Linked DNA regions of Kluyveromyces lactis. The protein of the gene in region 3 purifies or fractionates together with the protein of the main gene of each other region. This does not show direct contact. Links are inferred from orthologs where the notes say so. Each region holds a gene or a part of one and is shown on either strand. Other genes may lie near its edges. The genes, in order: KLLA0_F13222g, UTP4, RRP7, ECM16, KRE33, PWP2 and UTP10.

The links.
Region 1: the proteins of RRP7 (region 3) and KLLA0_F13222g purify together in Saccharomyces cerevisiae (affinity purification with mass spectrometry; 3 studies listed by BioGRID, with this or other methods). This does not show direct contact. The link is inferred for Kluyveromyces lactis from reciprocal best matches to the Saccharomyces cerevisiae genes RRP7 and IFH1.
Region 2: the proteins of RRP7 (region 3) and UTP4 purify together in Saccharomyces cerevisiae (affinity purification with mass spectrometry; 3 studies listed by BioGRID). This does not show direct contact. The link is inferred for Kluyveromyces lactis from reciprocal best matches to the Saccharomyces cerevisiae genes RRP7 and UTP4.
Region 4: the proteins of RRP7 (region 3) and ECM16 purify together in Saccharomyces cerevisiae (affinity purification with mass spectrometry; 3 studies listed by BioGRID). This does not show direct contact. The link is inferred for Kluyveromyces lactis from reciprocal best matches to the Saccharomyces cerevisiae genes RRP7 and ECM16.
Region 5: the proteins of RRP7 (region 3) and KRE33 purify together in Saccharomyces cerevisiae (affinity purification with mass spectrometry; 3 studies listed by BioGRID). This does not show direct contact. The link is inferred for Kluyveromyces lactis from reciprocal best matches to the Saccharomyces cerevisiae genes RRP7 and KRE33.
Region 6: the proteins of RRP7 (region 3) and PWP2 purify together in Saccharomyces cerevisiae (affinity purification with mass spectrometry; 4 studies listed by BioGRID, with this or other methods). This does not show direct contact. The link is inferred for Kluyveromyces lactis from reciprocal best matches to the Saccharomyces cerevisiae genes RRP7 and PWP2.
Region 7: the proteins of RRP7 (region 3) and UTP10 purify together in Saccharomyces cerevisiae (affinity purification with mass spectrometry; 3 studies listed by BioGRID). This does not show direct contact. The link is inferred for Kluyveromyces lactis from reciprocal best matches to the Saccharomyces cerevisiae genes RRP7 and UTP10.

What each region holds. Positions count from the first base shown.
Region 1 is NC_006042.1:1,219,134-1,223,818, reverse strand, and holds KLLA0_F13222g (uncharacterized protein), read right to left. Parts: upstream 3,141-4,685; coding exon 186-3,140; downstream 1-185. Other genes in the region: KLLA0_F13200g (survival factor 1 family protein), read right to left, coding at 3,893-4,685. UniProt on the Saccharomyces cerevisiae protein: Transcriptional coactivator that together with FHL1 regulates the expression of rRNA and ribosomal protein genes. Its activity is negatively regulated by environmental stress.
Region 2 is NC_006040.1:1,131,526-1,136,018, forward strand, and holds UTP4 (small subunit rRNA maturation protein UTP4), read right to left. Parts: upstream 2,753-4,493; coding exon 542-2,752; downstream 1-541. Other genes in the region: KLLA0_D13200g (uncharacterized protein), read left to right, coding at 1-459; condensin subunit YCG1, read left to right, coding at 2,992-4,493. UniProt on the Saccharomyces cerevisiae protein: Involved in nucleolar processing of pre-18S ribosomal RNA. Required for optimal pre-ribosomal RNA transcription by RNA polymerase I together with a subset of U3 proteins required for transcription (t-UTPs).
Region 3 is NC_006039.1:106,256-109,640, forward strand, and holds RRP7 (Rrp7p), read right to left. Parts: upstream 1,631-3,385; coding exon 650-1,630; downstream 1-649. Other genes in the region: STE50 (Ste50p), read left to right, coding at 1-444; SDH7 (Sdh7p), read right to left, coding at 1,837-2,226; HIS4 (trifunctional histidinol dehydrogenase/phosphoribosyl-AMP cyclohydrolase/phosphoribosyl-ATP diphosphatase), read right to left, coding at 2,541-3,385. UniProt on the Saccharomyces cerevisiae protein: Plays an important role in the synthesis of 18S rRNA but is not required for the 5.8S and 25S pathway. Is necessary for the cleavage at site A2. Is required for efficient association of RPS27 with the pre-ribosomal particle.
Region 4 is NC_006042.1:1,596,759-1,601,196, forward strand, and holds the start of ECM16 (ATP-dependent RNA helicase ECM16), read right to left. Parts: upstream 3,139-4,438; coding exon 1-3,138. Other genes in the region: SAS2 (histone acetyltransferase), read left to right, coding at 3,503-4,438. UniProt on the Saccharomyces cerevisiae protein: Probable ATP-binding RNA helicase. Required for 18S rRNA synthesis. May play a role in restructuring of the pre-rRNA.
Region 5 is NC_006042.1:2,272,055-2,276,502, forward strand, and holds the start of KRE33 (ribosome biosynthesis protein KRE33), read right to left. Parts: upstream 2,823-4,448; coding exon 1-2,822. Other genes in the region: transcription factor NDT80, read left to right, coding at 3,682-4,448. UniProt on the Saccharomyces cerevisiae protein: RNA cytidine acetyltransferase with specificity toward both 18S rRNA and tRNAs. Catalyzes the formation of N(4)-acetylcytidine (ac4C) at positions 1280 and 1773 in 18S rRNA.
Region 6 is NC_006039.1:783,001-787,580, forward strand, and holds PWP2 (snoRNA-binding rRNA-processing protein PWP2), read left to right. Parts: upstream 1-1,535; coding exon 1,536-4,271; downstream 4,272-4,580. Other genes in the region: YIH1 (Yih1p), read left to right, coding at 1-239; MPP6 (Mpp6p), read right to left, coding at 356-883. UniProt on the Saccharomyces cerevisiae protein: Required for bud-site selection and cell separation. Also involved in nucleolar processing of pre-18S ribosomal RNA.
Region 7 is NC_006042.1:1,973,329-1,978,045, reverse strand, and holds the start of UTP10 (snoRNA-binding rRNA-processing protein UTP10), read right to left. Parts: upstream 2,844-4,717; coding exon 1-2,843. Other genes in the region: KLLA0_F21164g (uncharacterized protein), read left to right, coding at 3,766-4,717. UniProt on the Saccharomyces cerevisiae protein: Involved in nucleolar processing of pre-18S ribosomal RNA. Required for optimal pre-ribosomal RNA transcription by RNA polymerase I together with a subset of U3 proteins required for transcription (t-UTPs). Involved in ribosome biosynthesis.

The DNA.
Region 1 (4,685 bases), on a different chromosome or scaffold from region 3:
AAAAATGGTGAAGCTGAATAGAGCTTCACAGAATGATATCTATGTAGATTATATCCAAGAAAGTGTAGTAGGTAGAATACAGATAATTGTAGTTTATGGTTATGCTTTAGTCGAGTAGTTTCGCATCAGCAGCAGTGGTAAAACCAAGGAATAAAAAATAAAATCAAAGGAAGTGAAAATGAGGGTTAACTTGGGAGTTCTGTTGATCCTCCGATGATTTCCTCCAGATCAGCTAGCGCCGTCTCACTGAAAAGTCCATTCTTGGTTACTCTCATATGTTCAGCAGCAGCTTCGGCGATACTGTTTCTTCTTCTCCATGCGGCAACATGGCTCATTTGTTCATGGTTAAAATCAATTTCTTCAATCGGGGCAGTCAGAGAAACCAGGAGATCTGCATCGTCACTGCCTAATAGATCAATATCTCCATCTTCATCTCCATGATGAGAAAGTATTAAATCATCATCAGATTTCAGCAGTTGATCAATTTCATCCATTCCTAATCCCTTCACAGAATTCTTCCTCGTTGGTAAAACCAGACCGTTGAAATCATTAGGTGTGTTTCCAGCATCTGCATCGGTGAAAACACTTGAACTTGGACTAGCCAAATTCACGCTAGAGGGAGTTTGAATGTTGTTGTGAGAATCTGCGTTGGGTTCAGTTTCAGTTTCTTGTTCAGGAGCAGTGAGCAATTTTTGCTTTTCAATTCTTTGCCTTTCCCTTCTGATTTTCAAGAGCTTCTTTTTCTTCTTTATCTTCCGTCGCTTTTCATCTTTCTTTCTTTGGTATTCCTTCATCTTATCGATCTTCCTTCTAGTCCTTTCACTACCAACGTAACCAATTGGGAACTTGCGTGCTGAAAACACAGGAAGCATGTATTCGTCTTCTTGATGTTCGAAGTTGATGCCTTTATTTCTGAAAGCAGATAATGGAACAGATGGTTTGTGATACCAGGTGGCAATCTCTTTATTCTTAGAATTCGAGTCAGCGCCATCTTCATTGTTTTCATCTTCAAGCTCACTCATATTCAACAATTCGTTAAGGGTTAGTTCCTCTTTTTCGCCTCCTGATCCGATACCATTATGTGATGAAACGTCTTCGACTTCAATTCTTGGATCTAAAATTTGTTGAACTGGCGGAATAGCAGGATACAAAGATTTAGTGGAAAGGCCATCAATGATACTAAAGGGCTTGTTATCTGTCTGCCAAGTTCCAAGTTTCGGAGGCTTCAAACCAACAACGTTGGCACTAACGACTTCTTTTGCCTTAGTCCCAATTTTGCGTCTTGTATTTGGAGGTGGTAAAGTGTCATCTTCATCAGTGGATTCGTCATCTACAAAGATGACACCTTCCACATGGTCATCTGGAGTGTCAGGATAGCTCTTAGCTTCTCCAGCTTCCTCATCTGATAACGAATCGTAATGAAAGTAGAAGCCATCTGGATCGAGATCATCAATATCAATGAAAACGTTGGTGACACTCATATCGTCATCATCTTCTTCAAAGTCATCTTCACCATCTGAGTTTTCGACTTCGTCTAGCTCCAAGCCATTTTCATCCTCTTCATCTGTAGGGAGGTGGGCGATATCTAATAGAATATCTTCGTACTCTTCATCTCCAGATGAAAGCTCTTTATCAGATACTGCCACGGTACTGAGCCTACGCAAAGGAGATTCAAGGTCATTGGTAACTTTAGGTTTCTCGTCATCGCTTTGGAAAAATAACCCAAATACGTACTCATCTTCTGCAAGATCTGGAGTAGCAGAATGTTCACGTTTAGACTTCTTGGAAGTCATTCTTCTTTTCAACCTCTCCTGCCTTTCCCGCTGTTTTAATTGCTTACGCTCTTCCCTCTTACGCTTCTCTTCGCTTAACACTAACGGTAAAGATGTGCTTAAAGTTAAGGGTTGGTCGCTGCCATCATAGTAATACAGATTGGAAAACTTGGGATCTTCATAAAAGGGCATATCGAAATCACTCATGATTGCATCATCTTCATCGTCCTCGTCGTATTCGTAATCATCGTCGTCATTTCTGGGTTTCCCATCTCTATACTTTGATTCCACCTGCGAATCATCGAAAGAAGAATGATCATCACGTTCAAGCTGTTTAACCATATTCTGTTCTTCAACATCCAGAATAGCCATATCGTCATCACCAGTCTCAAGGCCGTTATCTATACCGGTAATATTTTCGTTATCATCATCAATGGTCTTGAAATATGCCTCTTGATCGATATTATAATCTGAATCCTCACTATCTGAAAATTTCGGTACCGCCAATCTATCGACATTTGGTTTAATGGAATCTAAAGGTTGTTTCACATCTTTATCCTTGACTTCCTCACCTAAATCTTCATCAGCCTTCTTGGAGGCTACTGAAGCATCACCGAACTTGATCCCATCGTCGCCTTTGAAATTGAATGACAGTTCAGGAGCATCTGATAGTTCAGAGCTTGAAATGTCCTCATCATTCGAATCCGAAGCTTCACGATTCTGCTGAGCCCTATTAGGAAATCCACCCTGTTTACTATTACCTTTATTGTTGCTGTTACTGACGACAGTTTCTGCAGGTGTCTTGCCCCTCTTCAAAGCGTTCAGCTGTTTCATTGCGTTTTTCTTACGTTCCGCAGTAAGTCTCACAAAATCCACGTCATCGTCTGAACTAGTACTCGAACTGTCGCTATCATCATCGTCATCATCGTCATCGTCATCATCATCATCATCATCATCATCATCATCATCGTCATCATCTACTGCCATTGTACCTCCTTCATCCTCCGAGAGAGACTGGTAGTCTGAAGACGCTGTAGCACTGTCCGAACCTGATGTGATGGCTGAGTCCTGATTCGTTGATATCAGCTTTCCGTTCTTACCCATCGCATTCGAAGATCGACCTTTTAGCTTAGTTCCGGCTTTGGGATTCTTATATAACGGTAACTTGGACAAATTCGAGCCCCTGCTGTTCGAATCCTGTGGTATATCACTCAGCGACGAATCACTAGAATATATTAGACTGAAACGTCTCGGTCTAGAACTTAAATGCGGAGGCTTATCCTTCTTATTTCCCATTTTATCCTGTAACGCTTTCAGAGTCGTAGGCTTCTTCCCACTAGTTAACTTCCTCGGGCTTTTACCTGACATAATATATATGTGTTATCAGTTGCAATTAGCAGCTGCAATAATGGTATTCTACTCTTTAGTGGACTTTTCTATATGCACCTGGATCAAATCAATAGGCTCAACAATTTAATAAAAAGAAAACCAAAAGAAAAAAAAAATTTCTAGGTTATAAAACGTTTTATCCAGTTCAACACAATCTTTAATAACTAGCTAATCAACAGTAAGTGTCCTGGGATCACACACAATTCAAATCTTTATTCCTTATTCCTTATCCTTTCTCTTCGCAGATAAACGACTAGTAGAATGAAACCAAAAAAAAAAAAACCGAAGAGCAGGGAAATCTATTCCTGAATATTCCTGATCTTACTGCACTTCTAACCTAGATACGTAAAATTTTCCACTATCTTTACAGCCAGCGTTGGTAGGAGAAACTCTGATTTGATCAAAGACAGAGACAAAGACAGAAACAAGGTTATTCTCTGCTTTTTTTACACACTATTTTATTCTAGTCCCAATTTCTTGAGATGAGCTCTAAGTTTACTTTTTATTTCTCTGTTTTCCTATGAAAATTGGTTGAGAAGATAATGAGGAAAAAAATTTCTTTTGTTGTACCGGGTAATGTTCTGCTGTGTTTGAAGATTGCCAAGATACGTAATTTGACGTTTGACGTTTGACGTTTGACTCTTGGATATGGGAGATCAGATGTCTGGGATTAATGACGACTCGCATCTATTCACTCTGTTAATCATTTTTTAAATTTATCTGAATTGGATCTATGGACTTATAAATGTTGTTTCTACAAGTGATATTGCACGTTCGTCATCTACCTCGGTTCTTTGACAGAACTGATATAGATATGGGTTGATTCCTTCCACCTTTTCCACAATGCCTTTCAATACCGTGGGCATCTCTTGTAATATATCGTACACATTGATTAGATTTAAGGGCCCCAATAGTAACGTGGGGCATAGTTCACCGTCTTTTTTGGGTAACGGAATCTCTACGATGTTTGGATACTCTACTCCGGTCTTGGGATCCAGTGTTAGCCCAAAATGTTTCACATGCTTATGTTTATCCTGTATACCGCAATATATGCGCTGTGATGAGGTTATCTTGTTTGTGTCCGACGATATGGTCACTGTTTGTTCACCGTATTCTTTTGGCGTTGTAAACTCCATACATAAAATTGTCCGTCTAGGTGACATGAAAGCAGCGAAATTCCACGATTTGGCAGCGCTGTTAGGTTTAAGGCCTTGCAATGCAGTGATGAGGACCATAGGTACTGAGTGAAATTTTATCTTTTTCGAGTTCACCACTATATGCCCTGATCCAGTACAATTCGGAGCAAATACATGTCTGATACACCTGTCGACGTTTGGGTTGCCCCTCATGGGAACTCTCGAGAAGAAACTCCTACCATCGGGTTTGATCTTGAATCCCTTGCCTATATTCACATCTAAACTGATGGACAACTCTTCCGTTTGACCTTCGACACTTAATGTGCCTATCCTTGATTCATTCGGAACCGCTTCAGCTCCTTGATAAAAATTGCGTGAGCGTTGTTTC
Region 2 (4,493 bases), on a different chromosome or scaffold from region 3:
GAACATCAAAATGACATGGATTCGTTAATCAAACAGATATCCTTGATATTGTCCATCTCGTTGTTCGTGTGCTCTCTTTCTACTGTCACTACGACAATCTCTTATCTTTTGACATTACTGCCTGTCAAACTACAATTATTAGCGTTATCTGCAATGCAGAGTACCAATGGCTCTGAGCTTCCTACGAGCAATAAGGATGCATTCTATACCAAGAAACCCCCTTCGATCATCAAAAACCTCGCTGTGTGTGAGTTGACAGGTGTGTACATCCTTGCCACTATCTTGATGATTCGCTCCAATTTACCATATGATGTCTCAAAACAGGTCAATCAACTCTTGGGTGAGAAATTCACTATTCCTGATGTTGTAATCGACGTCTGGTCTGATAAAATGTTCGCTTGCAGTTCGCTCTTGACATTCATTGGTATTAAGGTAGCAGAAAGAACACTACACAGATGATATGCGGCGGAATGATGACCCTATGTTAAAAATCAATTTCGCGATGAAGATCGAGTTTATAATAATGTACAGAAATTATAAATTAGAATACTAACTTTTCTAATTCAAATGCAGGAGGTTGGGAGATCAAGAAGTTTGGTCTTTCCACAATGATTAATTGGTCACTTGCGATCTTTCCAGCGAATAATAGAGGTCTATACTTATCGGTATAGAAAAACGCCTTATCAGATCTCTTCTTGGAGGTGACATCTTGCGCTCTCTGAGTTTTTAAGAGATAATCTTCCTTAACTTCGAGTTCTTCATCGTCTTCATCATCCTCATCGACGTCTGCCTGTAGACCGTCAGTGGAAATAGTTAATCCGTCACGGTCACGCTTCTTTTGCTTCTTTCTTTTGCTAACTGGCAAGTCTAATGACATGTTGATGTTAACCAACCAGTTAGATCCCCAGAACCATACCTTATGCTCATCCATTTCATCTAAGAATATTCCTGTGCATCTCTCTTTCAAGGAAGTAAATTGCCTTGGGAGGTTTTCATGATTGGCTTTGAACCAGTCAGTGAGTAGTTGATCCTTCTCGGATTCCAAATTGAACTCGTATATTTTATTTTCTGATGTCACTACTACTACAGTCTCTCTTGGTGTGATGCACAGTGCAGTGATGAAGTTGTTCATGCGAATTAAAGCTTTACTACTGTTTGTTGTCAAATCTATTAAGTCTAGAGCACCGGTACCTCTAGACGCAACAGCGTAACGTTCATTTGCATCTAAATGGTTCACTGCATTCAAATATGATAGTTTATTGCTGGATTTCGTTGAGTTCGCTTCAGGTAACTCAATAGTTACGGTTTTTTCGTCGTCATCCTCTTCAAGGTCAATTCTAACTATTTCATCAGATTGTGAACACATTATTAACCTAGAATCATCAATGAACTTAGCAAATTTGCAACCAGTTCTCAACAAAAACTCATTGTCCAACTTTGTTACTTTCAATTTGTTGTCTGTTGGTTGTAAATGGAAAACTTTGGTAGTATTTAGTCTTCCCACTAATAAAACTTGTCCGTCAGTTGATAGTGCACAGGTTTGGATGTTTTGTTCATCCTTCAAAACCAATTTACTAACTAATTTGTAGTTCTTAGGCTCATTGACGTCTTCGCCAATATACCATATCTTCACGATATTATCCTGCCACATCACCAATAGTCTTTGTTGTTTGTTGACCAGGATGCTCTTATGGAATGGGGTAACTAGTGGCATCTTTCTATAATTTCCTTCAGCGAAAGAGGACATTGAGCACATGACAAGAGACTTTTCAATACCACCAGACACTAGGAAGTCGGATCCCATACATTGATAAGAGGACATAGATCTAACATCATTGGAATGGAATAATCTGTTTGAAGTACTGATCCATTTCATGCTCTTTCCTGTATCGATGTAAGAGAATTGGAAAATCTTTCTATCAACACCACTAGTGAACAATTGTGAATTATCCAGATCAGTAGCCAGACATAGAACATCGGCATCATGAACCTTGAAAGATTGAGTCAATGTTGCGTAGTTTAAGTCCCAGAATTTGACCGACCCAGTAGAATCACCAGACACAATTTGGTTCTGTTTAGCTAGATACAACACAGACCATACGAGTGTAGATTCTTTCTTCGATTTATCCACTTTCATAGTATGTAATAGTCTTCCCTTGTTTTCGTCTTGCTCCTTAGTATACCATATTCTAATCCTTCCATCAGAACAACCAGCGACCAAAGATTCATCATTGGCTGTCCATGTCAACGATAAGACACGAGATTCTTGCCTTGTAAGTATGCTCTCATGCTCAAGAACACCTTTACCACCACTGATGTTAATAAGTACTACACTGCCGTTATCACATCCGACCGCTAGCTTATTCATATCGTTGCTCATTGCAATGGACCAAATCACACCAGAGTTACAATCGTAATTTACTAACGGCAACCCGGTTGTCAAATCCCATTCTGTAACTACAGTGGAGCCACCGATCGAAAATAGTCTCAAAGGCTCTCCACGAATACTGCACCAGGAAAGACCTTCAATGGATCTTCCTTCACCTCCCAAGATCACGAACTCTTGTACCCAATCATCTCTTGGATTCCAGATCTCAATATTACCATTGGATCTACCAATAGCCAGTCTTAGCTCTTGCGGTGCCGCTTTATCAGTACTTTTGTGTGAAAATGCAAGAGCCGTTATATTACCAGGTGTAAACTGCACAAACCTGGATCGATGCACTACCTGTTTCTTCCCAGTATCAGTCATGATCAAATGTGTTCTATAAATTGAGGACCTTAAACCTGTATCAGAGAACAAAAGCTAATGTATTAGAATGAAACAAAAGATTGACAAACTGTAGGCTGATGTCAATCAAAAAACTTCACTGACTAGATAGAAATATACGACTTTGTTATCCGATGAGATGAGCTTCTGTTCTAAGCTTGTGTGCTCTTAACGCTGAAATTTTTCAAAAAGAAACTAGTTTAGCTTCAACACCGTACAGTATGATCATATCACGTGATATATTAGATCTATTGGGAAAACGAGATTTGTTTACAATTGGATCTTCTCTTCACATAAACAAACTAATAAACAAAGAGGAAAAGGAAAGTGGAAGAAACATCGGCGGCAACCTCATAGCAGCCTTTCCCTGGTGTATACTCGTGGTATTATTGACCAAAAGGGTGCAATTGTTTGATATGGATGTTCAGGATGGAGAATCTCCTACAAATCGTCGTGTTCTGAATTCTATAGCGGAGGTTTTCCAGGTGGCGCAGAAGAGTTATGCTGGTCACAGACGTCATGTAGCTGTCTTATACAGGATTTATTTGAAATGTGTGGAGCAAGAGATATCAGATGTGTTTCATTATTGGTTTATCAAAATGACTGTCAAAATCTTGCCGCTGAAGAAACAGGAAATCGTGGGGGATCGCATTGTTCGGTTGATTTCAGGGTTCATCGCAAATATAGAGTCGAATCTTAACAAGATGAGAACCGAAGATGGTAATGAGCAAAATGTGAGGAATTTGGAAGTACATTTCGGAGGATTTATTGATGGATTTGTGAGGAATCTGCTTCGAGGAGTGGAATCGAAAAATAAAAACGTACGATACAGAGTAATGCAACTTTTGGCCGCAACTATGGATAATATGGGAGAAATTGATGAGGAATTGTACGAGTTGATTATGTGGGTTTTGAAGCATAGGGTGTATGACAAGGAACCTCATGTTAGGATACAGGCGATATTTTGTTTGACAAAATTTCAAAACGATAACGTATCGATGATTAATGAATCAGAAACCGGAGTAAATTTCCAACTCGATGAAGCTACACAGAGTTTAATGCATATCATTAGGAATGATCCAAGTCCAGAAGTTCGGAGGGCAGCAATGTTGAATATTGTACGTTCGAAAGCGACCCAGAATGTTATCTTGGAACGGGTACGAGATGTTAATTTCATCAATAGAAGATTGGTGTTTACAAGAGTACTAAAGAGTTTGGGGAAGCATACGTTCGATGAGGTGGATTCTGATATTTTAGAGAAACTGATGACCTGGGGGTTTGAAGATAGAGATGAAACGGTTAGAAATTCTTGTAAAAAATTAGTTGCCTTCACCTGGTTGAACATCCTGGACGGTGACATCATCGATTTATTGGAGAACATTGACGTTGTGAACTCTACATATGCAGAACAAGCACTCTATGCACTATTTGAACAGAGGCCCGATGTTATAGAAAAAGTCAAATTCCCAAAAGAAGTCTGGGAAACTTTTACCGTCGAAACTGTTTTCTTATTAAAATGTTTCTTCTTCCATTGTTTGAACTGTAATCTGGTTACCATCATAGAAGAGAATTTCCCGGAAGCTTTGAAATTCGCTGAATATCTTGCATTTTATTTGAATAAAAGAGTAGGAGAGGACGAGACATTATCAAAAACAGATTACAAATATCTAGATTTTATTTTGCATCAGTTATTGGAAATTGCATACAAGTACGATTTTAGCGA
Region 3 (3,385 bases):
CATTCTTCACACACGCCATCATCACCCAAATACAGATCGAATTCCAATCCAGGGCTGCCACCACAATCTTCAAGCACCAGAAATGTTTCATCGTCACATATTGCCACCACACCCGGATCGGCGAATACTCCAGGCGGAGCTGGAGTATCATCAGCTCCAAGTTCAGAACCTATGAAACAATTACGTGCCTCAAAGGAGGATTCATGTGAAAAGGTTTTAAGAAATGCGATGAAGAGGCACAATTTGAATGAAACGGATTGGAGACAGCATGTTTTAGTGATATGCTATGGAGATCAAGAACGAGTTCTTGATCTCGATGAAAAACCAGTACAGATCTTCAAGTCTTTAAAACAACAAGGCCTGCATCCTGCAATTATGTTAAGACAAAAAGGTGACTTTGAGGAAGTGGGAGAAATGGCAGCAACACCGGGAGGTAGGCTATAATGTTTGTTATCTCCTCCTTCATCAACTGGAAAAAACACTTGGCAAGCAACCATAAACTTTCATTTTAGAGCTTTCATGAACGAATAATTGTATTGATAGATTAATTATCTCTTTCTATAAGAGTTACGTATGTTGTACAAAGACACATTCTCAACTATAGTAAATAACAAATAGAGCACCTTATCAGGAAAGTTTTCTCAAATAATTATGTGTACGGGTTGAACCTTCTTTTGGACTTCATCTCCTTTATCTTTTCTTGATCTTGCTTGAATTTGGCTAGCAACTCATTAATTTCCTGCTTCTTTCTTTCACGGACTTGGAATCTATAGAAGTCCTTCTTTGCCTTCTTGTCAACCATATTAGGCATCTTCTTAGGTTTCTCATGCTTTAATAATGGATTTCTGTTGAATATCTTTTTCCTTATGCTGTTTAATGATTTTGTATTCTTTCCTACTACTAATGTGAAACCATCTTCATCAACAATAGATGATTGTACTTCTTCTTGAGCTTGCTGTTCTCTTTGTTCGAAAAGAGCCATATGTTCATGTATATCCGTTTTCAAATATTTTAACGGTAATGGACGGTAGAATGCTGTGAATGTCTCGATTGATGGGGATTGAAATTCCCACAGTATCTGTTGTTGCTTCTTGCTAGAAGAGTATTTCCTTAGTGCTTCCCAACAGTTTTCTACGGACTGCTTATCCACAAACTGTAGTAATGCAGTATTTCTTGGCGTAAATCTTTTCTCACTAGGTTCATCAACACTCATTAAATGAGAAGTCAATGATGATAAGTCAACATCATGTAATCCGAACTCATCATGATAGAGTAGATCTTGCACATGCGAAACGGTTTCATTCTGATGACAGATCTCTTGGAAATTTTTCTTCAAGTTTTCGAGTTGTGTTAAAAGAGGTAGATTAACTAGGAATAAGCAGTGTTGTTCATTTTCCAGTTTTGATTGATGCTTTCTCACAAACATATAATGATATACTTTCGTCGGTTTCTGGTTTAAACTCTTTACTTGAGGTAGTAAAAACGGCACAATTAGGAAGCCATTTTGCATCTGTTCAAGAACCATTCTTTCGTATTGAAAGTGTGTGGAGAGGTATCTTGATCGGTGTATAACCCAAACAAATTCGTTGAAAGTTGTTGAAGCGAATTTCTTCAGCTCATCTCTTCTCATCACTTTACTAACTTTAAATCATAGTTTTCATTACACAACTACTAAATAGTGTCGAGAAGAAAATTTTCAATATAAGACGAAAGTCTTTTGAAGTCACGTGCAACAAAAAGTTGAGTATATAAACCCTTCTCCTCACCCACTACTTGAGAGAATTTGGAGGAAAGATATAATATTTGGGAAATGTCTGTCTTACAACCTTCCGAAGATCATTCACCACCTGATTTCAGCTGTTCAGCTTCTTTCATCAATTCGTACAACTGGGTAACTTGTTCTGGTGACATCTTTTCAAGCAGGTCAGTGGATAAAGTTCCTTCTTCCCATTCACCTCTTGTAATCATATGCAGATAATCCTGCCATGAGGCTAAGAATCCAACAATGTATAAGGGATTGTCAGTACTCTTATGCAACTTGAATTCATTCTTGACATATTGATCTCCCAACTCTCTCTGCATCGTTGGTAAGTTTCTGTGTTCTCTGAGGATTCTACGGTACAATTGTAACGGAGGCAAGAGCGGTTTGTGAGGTTTCCTCGAACCTAGCCGTCCCGCTCTAGTGGTCTGTTTGACAGCTTGCCTTAATAGATGGTTAACCTGCATGTTTAATGGGTTGCTGGTACGTTACGCGGAGTCACAGCTCTATATCATCAATTTATTCAACTCTAGCGATGATGATATGCGGTATCAAGCATTTTCATTAAGATTTCCATTGTTTTTGTATTTAGAAGTCACGTGAAGTAATATTTTGATACTTTGAATATGCAAATCTCTGGGGAAGTTTCATGCATTCAACGCGTGCTTCTGGAGTAAGCTTCTAAACAATTCGAATGGTTAAAGTTTATTCATTTCTATACAAACATAGCATTATTTTTCTTTTAGATATTAAATTCAAATCTTAATAAGTTAGTTCTATATTATTCAAAACCTGATGGTAGTAAGCCCAACTTTGACATCCTGATCTTGACTGCGTTTCTGTGAGCATCCAAGCCTTCGACTTTAGCAACACTCATCACAGCATGACCAATATGTTCTAAACCGACTGGGGTGACCACTTGAGAAGTGATAAACTTCTGGAAAGTGGCTGTGTTCACACCACTGTACTGCCTAGCATAACCATAGGTAGGTAATGTATGATTCGTACCACTAGAGTAATCACCACATGATTCTGGAGTATAAGCACCAACAAAAATGGAACCGGCGTGATCCACATCTTTGACATAGTCTTCGGCATTTGAAATTTGTAGAATCAAATGTTCAGGAGCATATTGGTTCGACATCTTGAAGGCTTCTTCGTAAGAATCACATAGAATGATTGAGCTGTGGGCGATACATTTACGAACAATATCAACTCTAGGTAGCTGCATAGCTTGTTCGTGAACAGCATTTTGTAAAGCTTCAATCTTCGAGTCAGATAACGAGACACCTACCAAAATAACTTGAGAGTCAATACCATGCTCAGCCTGTGATAGCAAATCCGATGCAACAAAGTCAACATCAGCTTCTTCATCACAAATGACCAAGACTTCACTTGGACCAGCTGGCATATCGATAGAACATAAAGCTTGAGTGTCGTTTTGAACATACATTTTTGCTGCGGTAACAAACTGGTTACCAGGGCCTAAGATTTTGTCCACTTTAGGAACGGATTCAGTACCGTAGGCCATTGCAGCAATAGCTTGTGCACCACCTGCTAATACGATCTTTGAAGCACCGACTTTACTTGCAACATAAACAACTTCAGGAGAAACTCTACCGTCAG
Region 4 (4,438 bases), on a different chromosome or scaffold from region 3:
TCTCAACTTCATAATCTCCTCTACGGTTTTTGCCCTTAAGAAATTTTTTTCCATGAAAGAACTGTGCTGATCCTTTGGAATGAAATCCAACGCAGATACTGCACTTAAAAGACGGAAAACATCACTGAATTTATCAAGCTTACTAAATCTAATTTTGCTTTTAACATACTTGGAGCGCAATAGCCTTTTTCTTTCCTCAGCTTCGTGATCAGGATAGTCATCTAATTGTCCTTCATCTTGTGTCTTGGGCACAGTATCCATGATACCAAGCTCTTGTTCAGATAAAAACGGCTCACCTACTGAAAGGGCACTGACAATGGTAACAACATATTTCAAACAGTCGCTTTCATTACCAACAAGCAGCATTTTAGAAAATCTTGGACTTAGCGGAAACAAACTCATTGCTTTACCATCATCAGTGATTCTTTCATTACTGTCGAGTGCACCTAGGTGTTGTAAGAGCTTTATTGACTTCATCAAAGCTGGTCTTTCGGGTGGGGTAGGGAATGGAAAATTCACAATATTATGAACAGCCATGCTCTTCATTTGCAAAACTATACTCTCCACAGGCATTCTTAAAATTTCAGGCTTAGAAAACTGCTCAAAATCTCTTTCGAAAACTGCAGAGGAGTATAAACGATAACAATGACCAGGCCCTGTACGCCCTGCTCTACCACTTCTTTGGCCAGCAGAAGCTTTGCTAATCCAGTCAATTTCGAAACTCTGAACACCATTATTTTCATCAAACTTTCTTTCCTTTGATCTACCACAATCAACGACGTATCTTACTCCCGGTATGGTCAATGATGTTTCTGCCACATTAGTAGCAACAACACATAATCTGGAGTTTGGTGGGGGATCAAGGAAGACCTTCATTTGCTCTTTGGTGGGCAATAGCGAGTAAAGAGGAAGAACATATAGTGGATCTCTATCCGTCTGACCTTCTTCAAGTGTTTCTTCAAAACCTTCTTCTTCGTCCTCTTCTTTGTCCTCAATATCTTCCTCATCAGAGAGTAAACAATCGTCAAATTCTTGTTCCTCTCTAACTCTGACACTGAAGTCGATATCTTCAGCTTCTACATCTGCAGTTTTGGCATCTATTTTCACTGTAGGTATGTGGTCATTTTGAATGAGAGTTTGATGTTTCTTGGGGAAAGGAAACTCTTTTCTTAACCTTTTTACCATGTGCGTGATCTCTTGCTGTCCTGTCATAAAAACCAAGATAGCACCAGGAGGCAACCTTTGATGTATTTTACACGTCTTCCTGAAAGCCTCTTCAGCATAGTTATAAGCTGTTCTACGATTGAAATGTACAGCCACTGGATACTGCCTGGCGTCGACCTTTAAGACAGGTGGAGAAACAGGGAATAAAGTAGGGTTTTCACTAAAATCTGATACTCTCAAGGTGGCAGACATGATAATTAGTTTAAGTTTTTTGTACTTAGCCGGATCAGTTGCATGCTCCTTAGCACGTAAGCTGACACAACGACTTAACATACCAATCAAAATATCTGTATTGATGTTCCTCTCGTGAGCTTCATCGATAATGATAGAAGAGTATTTAGAAAGTCTAAAATCGTTCATCATCTCTCTTAGCAAAACACCATCAGTCATAAATTTCATTCTTGTTTTATCCTTGGTAGAAGAATCGAACCGAATTTGGTATCCTACATATTCGCCATGATCACCCATCTCATTAGTAACACGTCCAGCCATAGAGACAGCGGCCACTCTTCTAGGTTGTGTTATTCCAATCATCCCAGGCGTGTCAGTTGAGGACGAATTACCATATCCTGCCTCGTAAAGAAACTGCGGTACCTGTGTCGTTTTACCTGAACCAGTTTCACCACAAATGATTACAACGTCATTATGATGGATAGCTTCCATAATTCTATGTTCCTCGGCGAAAACAGGTAGTGCGCTTCTCACAGCTTGAACAGCATCAGATCTCCGTACCTTGACATAAAAAGCCTTACGTGTTGAATTTTCGTTCACATTAAATTCATCTGCTTTGAGTCCATCTTCAAAGTCTTCAGGTCTCTCGGTCCTATCGACCTTGATGTTGGAGGAAGGCATAACCATTTCTACATCTCTACCTTCAAGCTTTTTAATTTCCTGATTTGCCCACTCTTTAAATTCTTGGGCAACTGAAGAACTTACGTTTCTGCACTGCGCTATTTCTGAATCCGATCTTTCCTCGCCGTCAGACTCACTCGACTCATCATCGCTGTGACTATCAGCATTACTATTAGATTCACTCTCATCAGGTTCACTTTCTGCAGTGGATGAATGTTCTTCTGATTCACTTTCGTCAGATTCAAAATCCTGATCATCATCCAGTTTACGCCTTCTACGTTCTTCTTGCTCTACCTTTTGCTTCCAGTTATACCTTTTCTTCGAGGCCCTTTTATTCACCACCTTTGCATTACCGAATCCAAAACCAAAACCTGACCCACCAAATTTACTGGGTCTATTATCAATAAATCCCCCAGTATTTGCCGAAATAGGGTGATCTGAACTGGTATGGTCCGTTTCATCACTATCCGAATTGCAATTTTCAGCTGTGCTTTCCTGACTGGGCCTAGTTTCTGGATGATCTTGATACCAATCCCTTACCTCAGTTTCATCGTAAAGAATTTCCCTGGTAGTTTCATCACCACGTCCATTTCTTTCTAATTTGAGGGCTTCTTCAATCCCTTGCCTCTTAGTTTGCCTTCCTTGTCCCAAAATCTTAGAACTTGTCAAAAGCTTAGTATCAATTTTATAGTCCTGAAGTTTTTCTATCAAAACTTTTTTCTCCTCTCTTTTCAATTGATGCTCGATGAACTTCTCTAACCTTTTTTTCTTCGTCCTAGAGACCTTCGTTTCCTTAGGTGTGAATAGCTCTTCCAATTTACGCTTTTTCTCTTGTTTCTCTTCCTCCGTCATGGGTTTCAATACAGCAGCGTTCGTATCTTCCTGATGATCGGGTGATTCATGATGTTCATCTTCAGATGAATTACCTTCTTCAGAATCAGCATCGGAAGAATTTTCAAGTGCACGGGTGAACTGCCTATTCCTTACTCTCTTCAACTCCTTCAACTTAGACATCTGACCCGCGCGTGCTTTCTCATTCCAGCGCTTCCTATAGGTACCCATGTTTGTTGTTCAATTTTTTGACCGTTTAACGTGCGAGGTACTTCTCTTGACTGTTAATGTCACAGAGGCCTATAACATTCAGACTACCAGCCTGTTATCAACGAGATTTTGATATATAGATGCAGGTGAGCTTGGATGCGATGAGATGCGATGAGCTTTAAAGCTTTTTCTGCCATAAAGGAAGATGAAAAAAAAAAAAAGAAAGTCGCTTTCAACGTTTTGATAATTCAAAGATATAGGCAATCTTTTGTACATTTAAGTTCAAAGAGCAGTTGATTCCACCGTTAATTGGGTTTTCAAGTACTCATTAAATTTGGGAAACGTGATAAATCGCATTTTTTGCCTCTTTTCAAATCATTAATGAATGGTTCCCAAACCTGATAAGCACAACAGCTCAACAGAGGATGAAGAAATATATGGTATTCTTGACAAGCCTAATATTAGGCACGTCCAATTTGGCTTGAATAAAAGATTTGCAACTTGGTACGGGAGTAATGTTTATTTTGGAAGAAATAAGAGGACCTTGGGCTTCAAGGAATCGAACAATGAGCACACCGCAAAACAAAGCCCTACTGAAAAGAAGTTTGAAGATCAGTATTGGATTGATACCCTATACGTATGTGAATATTGTTTCAAGTACACTGATGATGAAGCAGAGTTAATCGCACATGAGTGCTTTTGCCGATATAAGAATAAGCCACCCGGTAGAATAAAATACAGAAGCCCCGAATACACTATACGAAGGGTAAAAGGTTCTAAGCATGAAGTTTTCTGCCAATGCTTATGTCTATTTACTAAGCTATTTCTTGATAACAAGTCTGTCTACTTCAAAGTTAAGCATTTCGAATTCTATATTGTGTATGAGAACAATTCTACAGTACCGATGGCATTTTTTTCAAAAGACTTATATTCCTACCACCAAAATAACCTTGCATGTATTCTTGTCTTTCCGCCCTATCAAAGAAGAAGATTGGGTACTCTCTTGATTGAGTTTTCCTACACTTTATCAAGATGTCAGGGTCTGATTTCGGGTCCTGAAGTTCCTCTATCTCCTTTCGGTTTAATTGGCTATCTTAAATTTTGGTCTTTCTCAATAGTTTGGCAGTTGACTGAAGGTAATTTGAAAGATGTGGCCCAGGTCACTTTGAAGGATCTTTCCGAGGCCACTGGTTTTAGAATCAATGATATAATTCAAGCTCTCAAATATCTTGATTGTTTAAGTGATTCTGAAATAAGACTCAATATCATCCGTTCATGGGCAAGACGCAACAAGGTATCCCATGGATTTATGATCAAAGAT
Region 5 (4,448 bases), on a different chromosome or scaffold from region 3:
TTGATTTGAGGTAAGGTTTTTTCAATAGACTCGCTTAAAACTTCCCTGAAGAAATTGGTGAATTTCCTGATAATCTTGGAGAACATGGCAATAGTTTGATTGGATGGTAAGTTCAACTCTTTCGTTATGTCATCAATGCCCTTGTGTTGCAAACCAATTGCAAGTAGTATACACGATTGTACGCTTGATAATGATACACCGTCACCCAGCTTTCCACTAAAGTATAGCAATGCCATCATTGGTAGAAGATCAACAATGACATGATAATCCAGTAAGTTGTTAGCATAGCTTTCTAACCTCTTTAGATCGAATGGAGAAAAGATGGAATCCAATTGGTCCCTTGTTAAAACCTTATTCTGGAACGATCTGCCCTCCGAGTCTTGGTCTAGTGTTTCACCCTTCTTAGCAGATTCAATGACATTTAACGCTTCGATGGCAGTGAATTTCTTAAAGTCGAACGATAATAAAGACAAGAATCTTTTATGGAAATCTTTGGCAAATTCTGCCAGCCATTTTGATTCACGACCTTCAAGAACTTTAACCATAACACATGTATGTTCACCAGTCAAATCATTCGCTGTTTGACGTAAGTAAACTGGGACAAATCCGTTGTTTTTCCAGAACTTATGTAAAGATTTTGTTAAACCATATGAAACACCTAAGTAATGCAAAAAGTGAGGGGTTTGTTCTGAGAGTTTCAGAAGCAATGGTGGCAACGTCTTTGCATCCCTTAATTTGATTTCATCTTTCAAGAGGTCTGCTTTCTTCAAATCCCTGTCATCGACTCTCTTGATTGTGTAGTCCTTTTGTACCGTATCTTCATTCAAATCGGTGAATTTACCTTCGAAATGATCTTTCAATAACTCCAGAGCCCTAGACCCATAACCCATAGAGGCGTATTCCGGATTGGTTGCAATCCTAACAACACGGGCACCACTCAAACCGGCAAATTCTTCATCTTGAAATTGCTGTGAGATTAGCCATGGAATTAAGTCACCACCAGCTCTTTGACCTCTTGCCAAAGAATTTCTGACAGAATCCTTCGAGATCTCACCTTCCAATGCGACCTGGATGACCACTAAGGGATCAGGTATTCTGCCGCCATCTTTTGGATCGATGGGAGGCAATAAAACGAATAGTTGATGAGCAGGTGCATCACTCATTAATTGCAAGTCGTTAGGAGAATTCTTGTAATGCGATGCGACATAAAGAGCCATCATCTTCTCCAGAAAATTTTCAGAAACAGGATGATAAGAAAATAGAGTATCTCTATTGACGATGAATAAATTACATTGAGATGGATGAGGTGTGCCTCTAGCAGCAAATCTTGGATTTTTGATTAGTTGAACGTCCAAACAAAGTAATTTATTCAACCATTTTTCAACTGGGTCACCAGGAGCGTATCTGATAGGTTCATCTAAGACAACTTCTCTCAAAGAACGGCCACTTGTTTGAACTTCTTGTTTCTTTGAATCTCTGGAAACAAGTGCTGTTTCGGAATCTTCACGGCCAGTACCGTTGGATTGAGTTCTTAGCTGTTGAATCAATTTCAAAGACAAAGATCTACCGGTACCTTCATAACCGTTAATAGTGGATGCCATAAACACTAAGTACGGACCCAAAAGCTTCTTTACAAGTGGTAGTGGAATTGCGGCAGCTTCATCAATGACAACAAGTTCTGCCTGTCCCAACACATGAGAATCATTTGGAATAATATATTGAATGGTCTGTCTATGTTCTCTCTTGATGTCTACTCTGACTATGGCTTTGTTGAAGCTTGGATTGGTGGACTGAATGATATCATAATCAATGTGCTCCTGATAGCCTAGAGCGTCAAATCCTTTGAAAATAAACTCAAATAAAGTCTTCAAATTCTCAGGGGAAGGAGATGTTACAAAGATATTGGAGTAACCATGGGATACAGCAGCAGCAATAGAAATACCTAGAGCAGCTGATTTACCTCTACCTCTACCTGCCGTCAATGCTACAGTTGAATTTAAAGTTTTCTCTGAAATGGCATCAATGAAGGTCAAGATTGCATGAGCTTGATTAACCGTTTTTGAAAGAGCAACTAATGATCCCGCAGGCTGAACATCTTCTAAAGACACTTTCAATTCTTTTAGTTCTTGATTTTTTGGTGAAATTTCTTCATCATCCTTTGGTGGAAGTGGTTTTACGTTTTTTCCTCCAGATATAGGTAAAACGTTTAACTCACTATCTACTACCAAACAGTTTTCATTCGAACCCAAGGACAAGATAAATCTTTCGTTGAATCTTGCCACGACATCGTCATGAGCTTCCGTTCTATAACGAGAGTGGATATCCATAGTCATAGTGTATAACTGTTTTAGAGAGGAAATGGACTTTAACATGATAACAATGATACCACCACCTTCAACGGTTTCGATGGTTCTTGCTAGCAAATTTGGAGTCAAAGCTTCAAAATCTTGTAGGATACACATACCATAAGTGTTACCCAAAATTTTTTCAGTTTCCTTATAATAACAGTATCGAATGTTTTGGTTAGAGATGAAAGTTTCAAAAGGATCTTGTTCATTTATCTCTCTGGTACCTCTCTTGATCTCTTTCTTAATCTTTGCTTCTCTCTTCTTCCTGTGTGAAGTGAAACCCAAGAGTTTCTTCTTATACGTCCATAACACGGATTTATTCATTTTGAGGTCAGCACTCATCATTAAATAGTGCAAGTTCGGTAGCTGGTTACGAGCATTGTCACCAACGATAACGAAAAATGATCTCTGATTTGTTTGAACACCATTTCTGATGAGAGCTGGGATACGAGAATCAATAGCTTTTTTACCCATCGTAATCTAACTTCTGGTTTAAAGTTTTAAGAACACACTCTTTAACAACAAACAATGACAGTTACGTTTCGCTGGAAGTTCGACCGTTGGGAAGAGTTAGTGTTTTTAATGATTTTTTTTGTAGTAACGAAGTACAGTAATCAGGTATTTTGGGGAGAAATAAACGTCTCGTAATACTCAGATAGCTTCTCAGCAAACCACCTCATCTCATTTGATCTCATCTCATCTCGAAATAAAATTCCTACCTAATACGATGAAATAGTAAAAAGACAATGAAAAAAAAAAAAAAAAATTAGGCAGAGAAAAGAAAAGATACTACTTACCCGGAATTATTTGATGAAAATATACTGTTACCCGCATGAATTTCATGCGCAGTGTAATTTCGGCGGCTAATTTCAAGAAATGACTACGTGTGCATAATGCACCATTATGTGATGTCGACTAATATTTTAAATTCATATTTAAACTTCAGTAGTAGTTTTCATGGGTATTAATTAAAGTTTTCTTCATGACTGACGAAAAGGGAAAAACTAACATTATATAAATACCAGTATTTTTGTGTCACAAGGAATAAGGGCAATATTCTTATGAAATAGATCCGATGAATAAGATAAGAGGTTAAGAACTGACATCAGAACGAGGTTCGATTATAAGGTTGTTTCTTTACCTGAACAAGCGCAGTTGTGGTTATCTCTTATACGGAACGTACGATTCCTAGGTTTTATTTTGGTTTTATTTTTTCGTGGTCATTCAGGTAAGCTCGGCGGTTATTCCATAGCAATAGCCAGGAGGAGAGTGAGAGCTAACTATATTTTCTTTTAATAGGAACAGAGTATAGTTTTATGTGATCAAACTTGCTATGATGGAGGATTTGGACCATCTGAACGATGAGAATATCAATATAGATGAGAACGAATTTTTGGAAACACTTGATAATGCTGACGGGGACGTGATCAAAACTTTTAGGAACGCTGACGGGTCATTAAGTAGTCATTTTGACAAGAGAAAAGTTCGTATTGCTCCAAGGTCAACATTGCAGTTCAAAATAGGCCCAGGCTTTACGCCAGTGGTGCCCAATCACAAGATATTGAACGATTTTGGACAGATTCAAGAAATCAAATTGGAGCCTCGGATTGATCGAGGGTTTGATTTCATAGATGACGATTGGATTGGTTATAAAAGAAATTATTTCACCGTGGTAACTTCATTTGACACACCGGGGACTGATCATATCGAGTTCATGAAACAAGCGTATCATTTAGATAACGGTGTGGAGATCAAATACTTCGCTACCAAATTAGCCGCCAAGTGTTTGGAAGATGATAAATTGATTAACCTAGTTCAACACACTGCAAAGCGAGATAAAGGCCCTCAATTTGCTCCTCCAATACATGTTATTGCACCTGCAAATTTGCCGAAGCACCAGATTATAAGAGATGCATCGAACGTGAGAAACGAATCCAAGATGAAAAAATTTGATAGCTATTTTTTCCTTCATAAAGAAGACGTTGGAACAGGATGTGAAGTAAGGAGTGTCTTGGCAAACTACCCATCGGATCCAATCAAAAAAGTAGCAAGGTATGAAAGGATACAGTTCGCCTCTTCTATAACTTTGAAGAAAACTAG
Region 6 (4,580 bases), about 680 kb from region 3:
GTGTCAGTTTCCAAGACTGCGATGACGATGGAGAAACAGCTGCAGGAGGACGAATGCTACATTTGATCACAGTGATGGATGCATGGAATGTAATTGTTGCCGTTGGAAGATGGTTCGGAGGAGTTCATATTGGTCCAGATAGATTCAAGCATATAAATTCAACAACTAGAGAAGTAATATTGAAGGGGCATTTCACAGAAGCTGCTACCTCTACTTCAAGTAAGAAGAGGTCAAAATAGTTCACATTTATAGAATGGAGTATTGTTACCGGAATTTGATCTACTCTATTTATTATATAAGTCGGCGAAAATAATATACAAATACTAGTGTCTCATTTAGCATCCTGCTATGAAGTTTAATTTCTATTCCTTTTTGACTTCTTCTTATTCCTCTCAGTATTACCATTACCATTGGATTTCTTCTGTTTCTTAGTCTGTGTTTCGGCTTCCCATAGCTTTTCTAAATCTGTCGTCGACACATCGTCCTCGTCCTTTTCTTCAAAACTTCTTTTCTTATCATTAGAACTCCCATCTGAACCGGGCGTAGCTCGTCCGAGTTTATTTCCGAATATTCTTCTTCCTGCATTTACACTAGTCCGTAGTGTGCTTGTGCTGAGATCGTTTGTATCGATCTTCGAATCCTCATCATTCAGTGACTTGATAGCAGAGAAACCTACGTTCTGTACCACTTTTGATTTATTAGCAAGTTTTGTCAAGAGTTTTACATTGTCACCTATCCTCCATTCTGACGAGTCCACCAATTTCTTTATTGTCTCCTCGGTCTGTTTAACTTTGTCTGCTTGTTCCGCATGCTTCATGAACTTCATGTTCATCACTCTATTGGATAACTTGCCTGTGACTTCATGCCGTTTCTGTCCACTCATTGTTACCTTTTCGTCTTAGTGCCCCTATTACCGCTTTCAAATAGGCTTCACTATATCATTGACACTGGAATACATTTTTAATGTATCATTAAAGTCCTAATACAGCTCATCTCATCAATCTTCTGCTGAATGGTTTGATCTTACATATTAGAATTTCATGAAAAGTTTGTTTACGATTGTCCGGAAAATGAAAGATAGCAAGAAGATAGAAATATCCATGGTTAAACCCCGTCGGACGTATTTCAGAATGCAAGGATCTGCACTATAAAAGGAACATTGTACAAAAATAAATGAAATAAAAAGGTCATTGGTAAAAGTATGAAAACAGCTATAATGAAGTACTCATACTAAGTTTCAAGTGCTGACATAAACGACAATCCACCCAAAAACCGACATGTTTCTGTTCTCTCTTTCTTTACTTCCGTGCTAAAGCTGTATATGTTTTCCTTTCTTTTTCATTCAGCATACAGGATTTCGAAAAATTTAAGAGAAAAAATTGAGCGATGAGATGAGATGAGATGAGATGAGTTCAAGCAGGAAGTGCAGACGGATTATCAGTCACTTGTAAGGACTTTGCATTATAATCAGTTGTTCAATTTCAATTAGTTGGAAGGAATCAGGTCAGACGAGCTTTATAAGGGTTTAGTTACGGATGAAGTCTGATTTTAAGTTTTCCAATCTTTTGGGAACTGTTTATAGGCAAGGTAACGTCTTGTTCTCTCAAGATGGTTCCAAGTTACTTTCACCGGTAGGTAATAGGGTGTCGGTATTTGATTTGATCAACAATACTGCTTTTACCTTCGAATATGAACATAGGAAGAACGTTGCCGTTGTAGATATCAACAAGCAAGGTACGTTACTTCTTTCCATTGATGTCGATGGTCGTGGTATCTTGGCGAACTTTAAGACAAGAAACGTATTGCATCATTTCAACTTCAAAGAAAAGGTTTATGACTTGAAGTTTTCACCTGATGGCAAGTTATTTGCGCTGGCTTGTGGGAGATTCTTACAAATATGGAGGACACCCGAGACCACTGAGGATAGACAGTTTGCACCTTTTGTTCGTTATAGAATCCATGCCGGCCACTTTTCTGATATAACTTCCTTGACATGGTCAAAAGATTCAAGATTTATTATATCCACATCCAAGGACCTAACGGCAAGGATATGGTCAGTTAACTCGGAGGAGAAAAATCTTGCATCGACGACTTTTGCAGGACATAGAGATAACGTTATCGGAGCATATTTCAGCGATGACCAGGAAAAGATATACACGGTCAGTAAAGATGGTGCCTTATTCCAATGGGAATACACCAAAAAGCCTGGTGAAGGGGAAGACAATGATGAAGATGAGGAAGATGTAGATTTGTCAAAATATAGTTGGAGAATCACAAAGAAGAATTTTTTCCATGCAAACAGAGCAAAGGTGAAGTGTTCTGCATTCCATGCTGCATCCAACATATTAACAGTCGGTTTCTCAAACGGTGAATTCCGACTCTATGAACTGCCAGAATTCATCATGATTCAACAACTTTCAATGGGTCAAAATGCAGTTAATACGGTTGCCATCAACAGTTCTGGTGAATGGTTGGCTTTCGGTTCTAGTAAACTTGGGCAATTGATAGTGTACGAATGGCAATCAGAGTCATATATTCTAAAACAACAAGGTCATTTCGATACGTTAAATGGATTGTGTTACTCCCCAGATGGATCGAAGATTGTCACAGCAAGTCACGAAGGTAAGATCAAGATTTGGGATGTCGCGTCAGGTTTCTGTTTGGCAACTTTTGATGAACATGCAGGTGGTGTAAGTGCAGTAGAATTTGCTAAAAAAGGTCAAGTTTTGTTTTCAGCTTCTTTGGATGGTACCGTGAAAGCATGGGACTTGATCAGATATCGTAATTTCAGAACGTTCACTGCGACCGAAAGAATACAGTTCAACTCATTAGCAGTTGATCCAAGCGGAGAAGTTGTATGTGCCGGGTCGGAAGATAGCTTTGACATTTTTGTTTGGTCAGTACAGACTGGTCAGTTAGTGGATACACTATCTGGCCATGAAGGTCCTATCTCCTGTTTATCTTTCAGTAATGAGAATGGAGTTTTGGCATCCGCTTCATGGGATAAAACAATTAGAGTGTGGTCTCTCTTCGGTAGAAGTCAACAGGTAGAGCCTTTTGAAGTATTTTCTGATGTTTTATCTATTTCTATGAAACCGGATGGTCAACAAATAGCTGCAAGTACTCTAGCGGGGCAAATATTATTCTTTGATGTTGCTGAGGGCAAACAGGTGGGAAATATTGACGGCAAAAGGGATATAATCTCGGGTAGACATTTGGAAGATCGGTTCACATCAGAAAGTTCAGCAAGATCTAAATATTTTACCACCATTCATTACAGTTTCGATGGTCTCTCTTTGGTTGCAGCCGGTAACAATAATTCCATATGTCTTTATGACATTCCAAACGAAGTACTGCTAAGAAGATTTACCGTATCCAAAAACATGATGTTAAACGGCACCATGGAGTTTTTAAACTCAAGTAGAATGACAGAAGCAGGATCTTTGGATCTCATTGATCAAGATGCAGAAAATTCAGACTTGGAAGATCGCGTAGATAACAGCCTTCCTGGTTCGAATAGAGGAGGTGACTTATCGACAAGAAGAGTCAGACCGGCGATCAGAGTGACGTCTATAAGATTCTCTCCTACTGCTAATGCATTTGCCGCCGGTTCAACAGAAGGTTTACTTGTATATTCCGTTGATAATACTATTCTTTTTGATCCTTTCGATCTTGACGTCGATGTGACTCCACAGAATGTTATCCAAAGCTTAGATGACAAGGAATATCTCAATGCCATACTAATGGCTTTCCGTCTAAATGAGGGCTATCTAATCCACAGAGTATATGAGAATATTCCAATAAAGGATATTCCATTGATAGCTCACGAGTTGCCAGTGGTTTACGTATCAAGAATTCTAAAATTCATTGGTGAGTACGCTTTAGAATCACAGCATTTGGAGTTCAATCTCCTTTGGATCAAATCTGTACTTACAGCCCACGGCAAATACATTTCTACTAATAAGCATCAATTCTCTAGCGCATTGAGAGCTGTCCAAAGATTTATTGGTAGAATGGCAAATGACGTCGTCCAAACATACAAGAGAAATAAGTACACATTAGACTTTTTGACAAATACCGATGGTTCTTCAACTAACGCTGTTGACGAGGATATGAATCTACTGGGCAATGATTCAGACAACGAATCTGAAGACAAAGAGGATATCAACATGGACGACGATTTAGATGGAGGTGAATGGGTTGGATTCGAGGAAAAAACTATTAATCTTCCTGTTAATGACGAAGATTCTGACGACGAAATCCTACTATGAAATCGGGATACTTCACTAAAAAGAGAATATATATAATTCCTAGCATGATAGATATATAAAATCACATCTCATTAATTTCAATAAAACAATCATTACCACGAATTCACATGGAGATTTTCACTGTTGTCCGTTTTTAACTTACGTTATTGCCTCTTAATCTGATAAGTTACATGCATATTAAAAATTCAAAATTGTTAAAAACCTTATAATTCAGGAACAGTTTTGAGATGAGATGAGATCAGATGAGATGAAGAATATTCAAAATAGAGAAATTGCGGTACAAAGCGTGACATTGCGCTCTACTGTTCA
Region 7 (4,717 bases), on a different chromosome or scaffold from region 3:
AGGAGCTTATTTTGCATTTGAGGAGATGTTGATGATCTAATGGCAGCGACTAGTATATCTGCTCTAATAGAGGGTAATTTCATACTTCCGTTGTTAGATTTTAGAGAAGAAATAGTGTTCAAAAGACAAGAGGACAGAGTTTCCTGAGCGTAAAGTACAGGCAAACCACCATCATGGTCTAAAGTTTCCAAGTCGGACAAAAGGTTGAATAAGGCATTCAATAGATTTTCGTTACTCTTTACCTTCAATTTATCCAAAGTCTCCAGAATAATAGTCATTTTCTTTAGGTGGGCTTCGGCAATTTGAGAAATATCTTGTTTCTGTAGGGCGGACTTGTTAACCGTAGACGATCTTCTTCTTCTACGTTTAGTCAAATCTGTTTGATCTTCGCTGTTTATGGTATTACTTTTCAACACAGAGACAAAAATATCTGCAGTTAATGGAAGACTTTGAAGGGTTTCTAGACCATCATATGATAGTTCTTTGTCAACTGAGGAGTCTATTATACTCTGAACAATTTTTAATTGGTTTGGGAATTTCAATGTTGGATACAAAGATAAAATTCTGTCTGCCATGATATTCGAAAGTTGTTCATATTCTGATTCCAAACAGTTAATCAAAAAATCTATCGCGAAACTGTTTTTTTCTTTTGGTGCAACAATGGCACATACCGCAGTTTCGAAGTCTTTGAAATTGGTTTTATTTTTGATGCACTTCGTTTCCCAGGAACTTCTTTCCGTGATGTATGTGGCCATAAATTGTTCGAACACCTTTGAATATGTAAAAGCATATTGTGGCACAGCGGTCAAGAGCTTTAACATTATAGTCTTCGAATAGGCGAGAGGAAGATGCAGTGCCTGGTTGCACCAAAACAGCATATATACCATGTCATTTTTGGATGGAATGACGAGGGATGAAATATCTGTACTTTCAACGATGTAATCGCTTAAAAAGTTGGTCAACCAAAACTTGCTATCTTTCGGACTTAACATTGGCACCTTTAAATTCTCTCCGTAGAGTACGTTAGATAGGAAATACTTTGCTGTGAAAGGTCTCTTGGCTATCTGTTGTAGAACCTTTTTCGTGTTGGAACGAACAGATCTAGAAATATCCATCAATGCTGTCACTAGAATAGGTACCAAAGAGAAAAGATCCGTTTGCTCATCTATACCATTGATGAATTTGCTTAACTGTGTTAGTGAAATCAATCTGAGAGCAACAGGCGAACCAGGGGATACGATGATTCTGAGCACAAACGTTATCCTGCTCTCTAAAGTAGTGAAGAAGGAGGATAAAAATAGACCTGGTTGATATCCTTTACTTACAGCTTCCACAAATAATGACAACAGCTTGACAAACTTTTCATCTTTAACAAGAAGCATAGACTCCGCTTTAGTGGAGATGAACTCTGAGTTTTTGGTCATGAAATCTTTAAATGGAACAGCTGAACCATTCGCGGTTGATGCTTTAGCATCATCTAGAACTTTAATGATATCTTCACCAGATTGTTCCGCACTGTTCTTGACGGAAAATAATGAAGTTGTCAATCTTATTTCGAAAACTTCTCCGGTCAGGTTTAGTGCTTGAAGACATTTCAAAACTAGTCCCTCGTTAATGGAAATGAAGTATTCAAAAACATCGATTAATTGTGACTTGTCCTCTAGAACTTCAGATAAATGTATCAAATCAGTGATGATAAATCTAACTTCGTATTTTTCCAACTTAATCTTCCTTAAGATTTTGACAATTTGACTCAATTTATCATGATCATATCTGATGACAGACCTAATGTATGCAGTGAAAAATTTATCTGAGGAATATTTGTTTTCATTACTCAGGAACTGTAGTAGATATTCGAATGGGAAAGAATTATCAACGAGTTTATAGATCTTGACCGGTAATTGATCCACATTACCTACACCTTTCAAGGTTTGGAAAAGTTTTGAGATTGTGACGAGAGCTTTTTTTCTAGCATCGTCTTCCTTTAAATTGGCCAAGATAGTTTCCGTAGCCGCAATGATAATGCTTTTGTTCAAAGGCAATGCGGTGGCAAGTACCGCGAGCATAGTATGAGCAGCCATTTGACAATCGCTTGAATCCGATGCCAAAAGTTTTGCGGAAATTTCCAAAATCAATGGGACCAATTTATTTAACTTATCTTCATCGTTCGCATTGAAAGCGATCACGTTAATGAAACAACATGTGGTAAATAGCAGTTGATTCGTATAGGTAACTTTTTGCTTGATAATCTTGGACAGATAATTTGAATAAAGCTTCAAGAAGTCCATATCGTTAAACAATTTGATCAACGTCAAATCGGTTGGATTCTTATCGTTTCTGACAAAATTGGTAAATGGGTTGAACAAAGGTGGTAGCTTAACGATATTGAGGATCCTTTTGAACACCGGCGTTTGGTATTGGTTCAAAGTAGATAGAAGAAGCATTTCGGCGTTATGGATATGAATTTGGAACCTACGAATCAACCATTCCGTAGCATGCAAAGCTGGAGTTAGATGCCATTTCGGCGAAATCAACATCAAATACGCATTAACTGCGTTATCCAAATCTCTAATCTGATCCTTTGTTTGAACGTTTCTATCAATGGTCACGGAAGATGCACTGAATAAGGAATTAGTGAAAACTTTGAACCTCAAGTCCAAACTCACCAAAGTATGAAACGATTCCAACGCTGTATCGTATATATACTCATAGTCCTGAGTAGCAGCAGTCTTCGGATTGTAAACCAAAGACGCAGAATGTAACTTTTGTCTTCTCTTTCTATCAAGAGCAACAGTAGCGTTATTCTGCGCTACCTGCGCTAATTGATCACGTAAAGATGACATTCTATATCGTCTCTGCCGTTGCCTGGAGTACTAGCAAGTCGAACCTGATCAAAAATCTATCGCCAGGAGATGATTGCAAAGCCAACGATTTGAACCTCATCTCATCTCATCTCATCGCTACTTTTTTTTTCTTTCACTCTTTAAAATTTTCGATTTGTTCATGCTGCGGTGAAAAGAAATTCATTTATGGTCACGTGTATGAAAATGGAGTGATACCATAAACTTGGGTCAAGTCTCCCCGTAGCTCAATATGCAAGCTACTGGTCAGTTTCCACCTGCTTTCGGATCTATTGAAGTACATACAGACTTAAGAGTTGTTTCAATACATCATGTGCCGTGCAAGGTCACACTACAAGTAATGGCTAGTTTCTGAGGAATTTCGGATCTCAGCCAACCGTATAAGCATGTTTGGCATAAACAAGGCTCATAGCAGCTATCTACTTAGCAATGCCTCAACGTTTCCATTTGAGGGTGTGTGTGAGTTGTGTGCGTTGGGCCTGCGTTCAGACTGGCTTTTCAGCAAAGGACCGGCTCATATAAGAACAAAAGAAAAACACACCTGGCTGGAGCGATGTGGTTATGCGGCGATGTCTCTGCGATTAAACTTAGATCCGAGATCTAGGCGGATGGTTCGTCCGAACCAATCTCAATGCAAAGGCTTGGGTGAACTGCAAAAATGTTTTCTTCTGGTAAACAAACTACTTTTTCGGAAGTTTGAGGCTGAGCACCTTCCTTACCTTAGTTTGCATTATGTAATTTACCGCATTATAAATTTTGTACCGTTTATTTTATATATAGGCAACGACAGGTTTAAGGAACCTTCTATCAAGATTGAATAGCGATGAGCTTAGGGGTTACAACTTGCGGAGAGATTGTTTATCCAAATAACGACATCAGTTATTGAGCCATTAATAATTCAGTCATGAAGTGTAGTACTTTGTTGTTATCTTTGGCTTTAGCTTTAGATTCCGTTTCTGCACGCGAAGGGTGCGATAAGAAATTGAGAGAGTCCTCTCATAAGGAGAAAGAGTTCAACCTAACTCGTGAATACGCTGCTGAGGTTGCTAGAGGTGTTGTTAAGTATGGTGACTTGGTTCATGTTTCTACTTTGAAGGATGGAAAGACTCCGGTGACTTTCCCAGAATACTATGTATCTTCTGATTTATGTGAGGGTGTGAATTCCACAGGTAACCCAATCTTGGTCTTGATGAACGTTTCCTCCACTTTGAGAAACTATCAGGATAACGGCAAGCTTTCTATTACCGTGGAGGACAGAAGGCCCAGACATCACGCTATGAGTTCTCCTCGTGCCAATCTTTTCGGTTCGTTGAAGAAACTTGAAACGACCAAGGCTTTGAGAGACTGTTACGGTAAAAGACACCCAGATGCCATCCCATGGTTACCTGGTGAAGAAAGTTTGGTCCATGATGGTGCATTCTACGAATTTGAAGTGGAAGATCTATACTACGTTGGTGGATACGGTTTCCAAGCTTACATTGGAGATATCGATGGTGAATTGTATCACGAATCTGAACCATTGAAGTTGAAATGGGGTAAGAAGCACCACAAGGGACATAAGGAAGATAGGGAACACGATGACAAGGGTGATGACGAGAAGAAGCAACCTAAGGATGAGAAGAAGCAACCTAAGGATGAGAAGAAACATTCTAAGGACGAGAAGAAGCATTCTAAGGATGAGAAGAAGCAACCTAAGGATGAGAAGAAGCAACCTAAGGATGAGAAGAAACATTCTAAGGACGAGAAGAAGCAACCTAAGGATGAGAAGAAGCAACCTAAGGATGAGAAGAAACATTCTAAGGACGAGAAGAAACATTCTAAGGACGAGAAGAAACATTCTAAGGACGAGAAGAAGC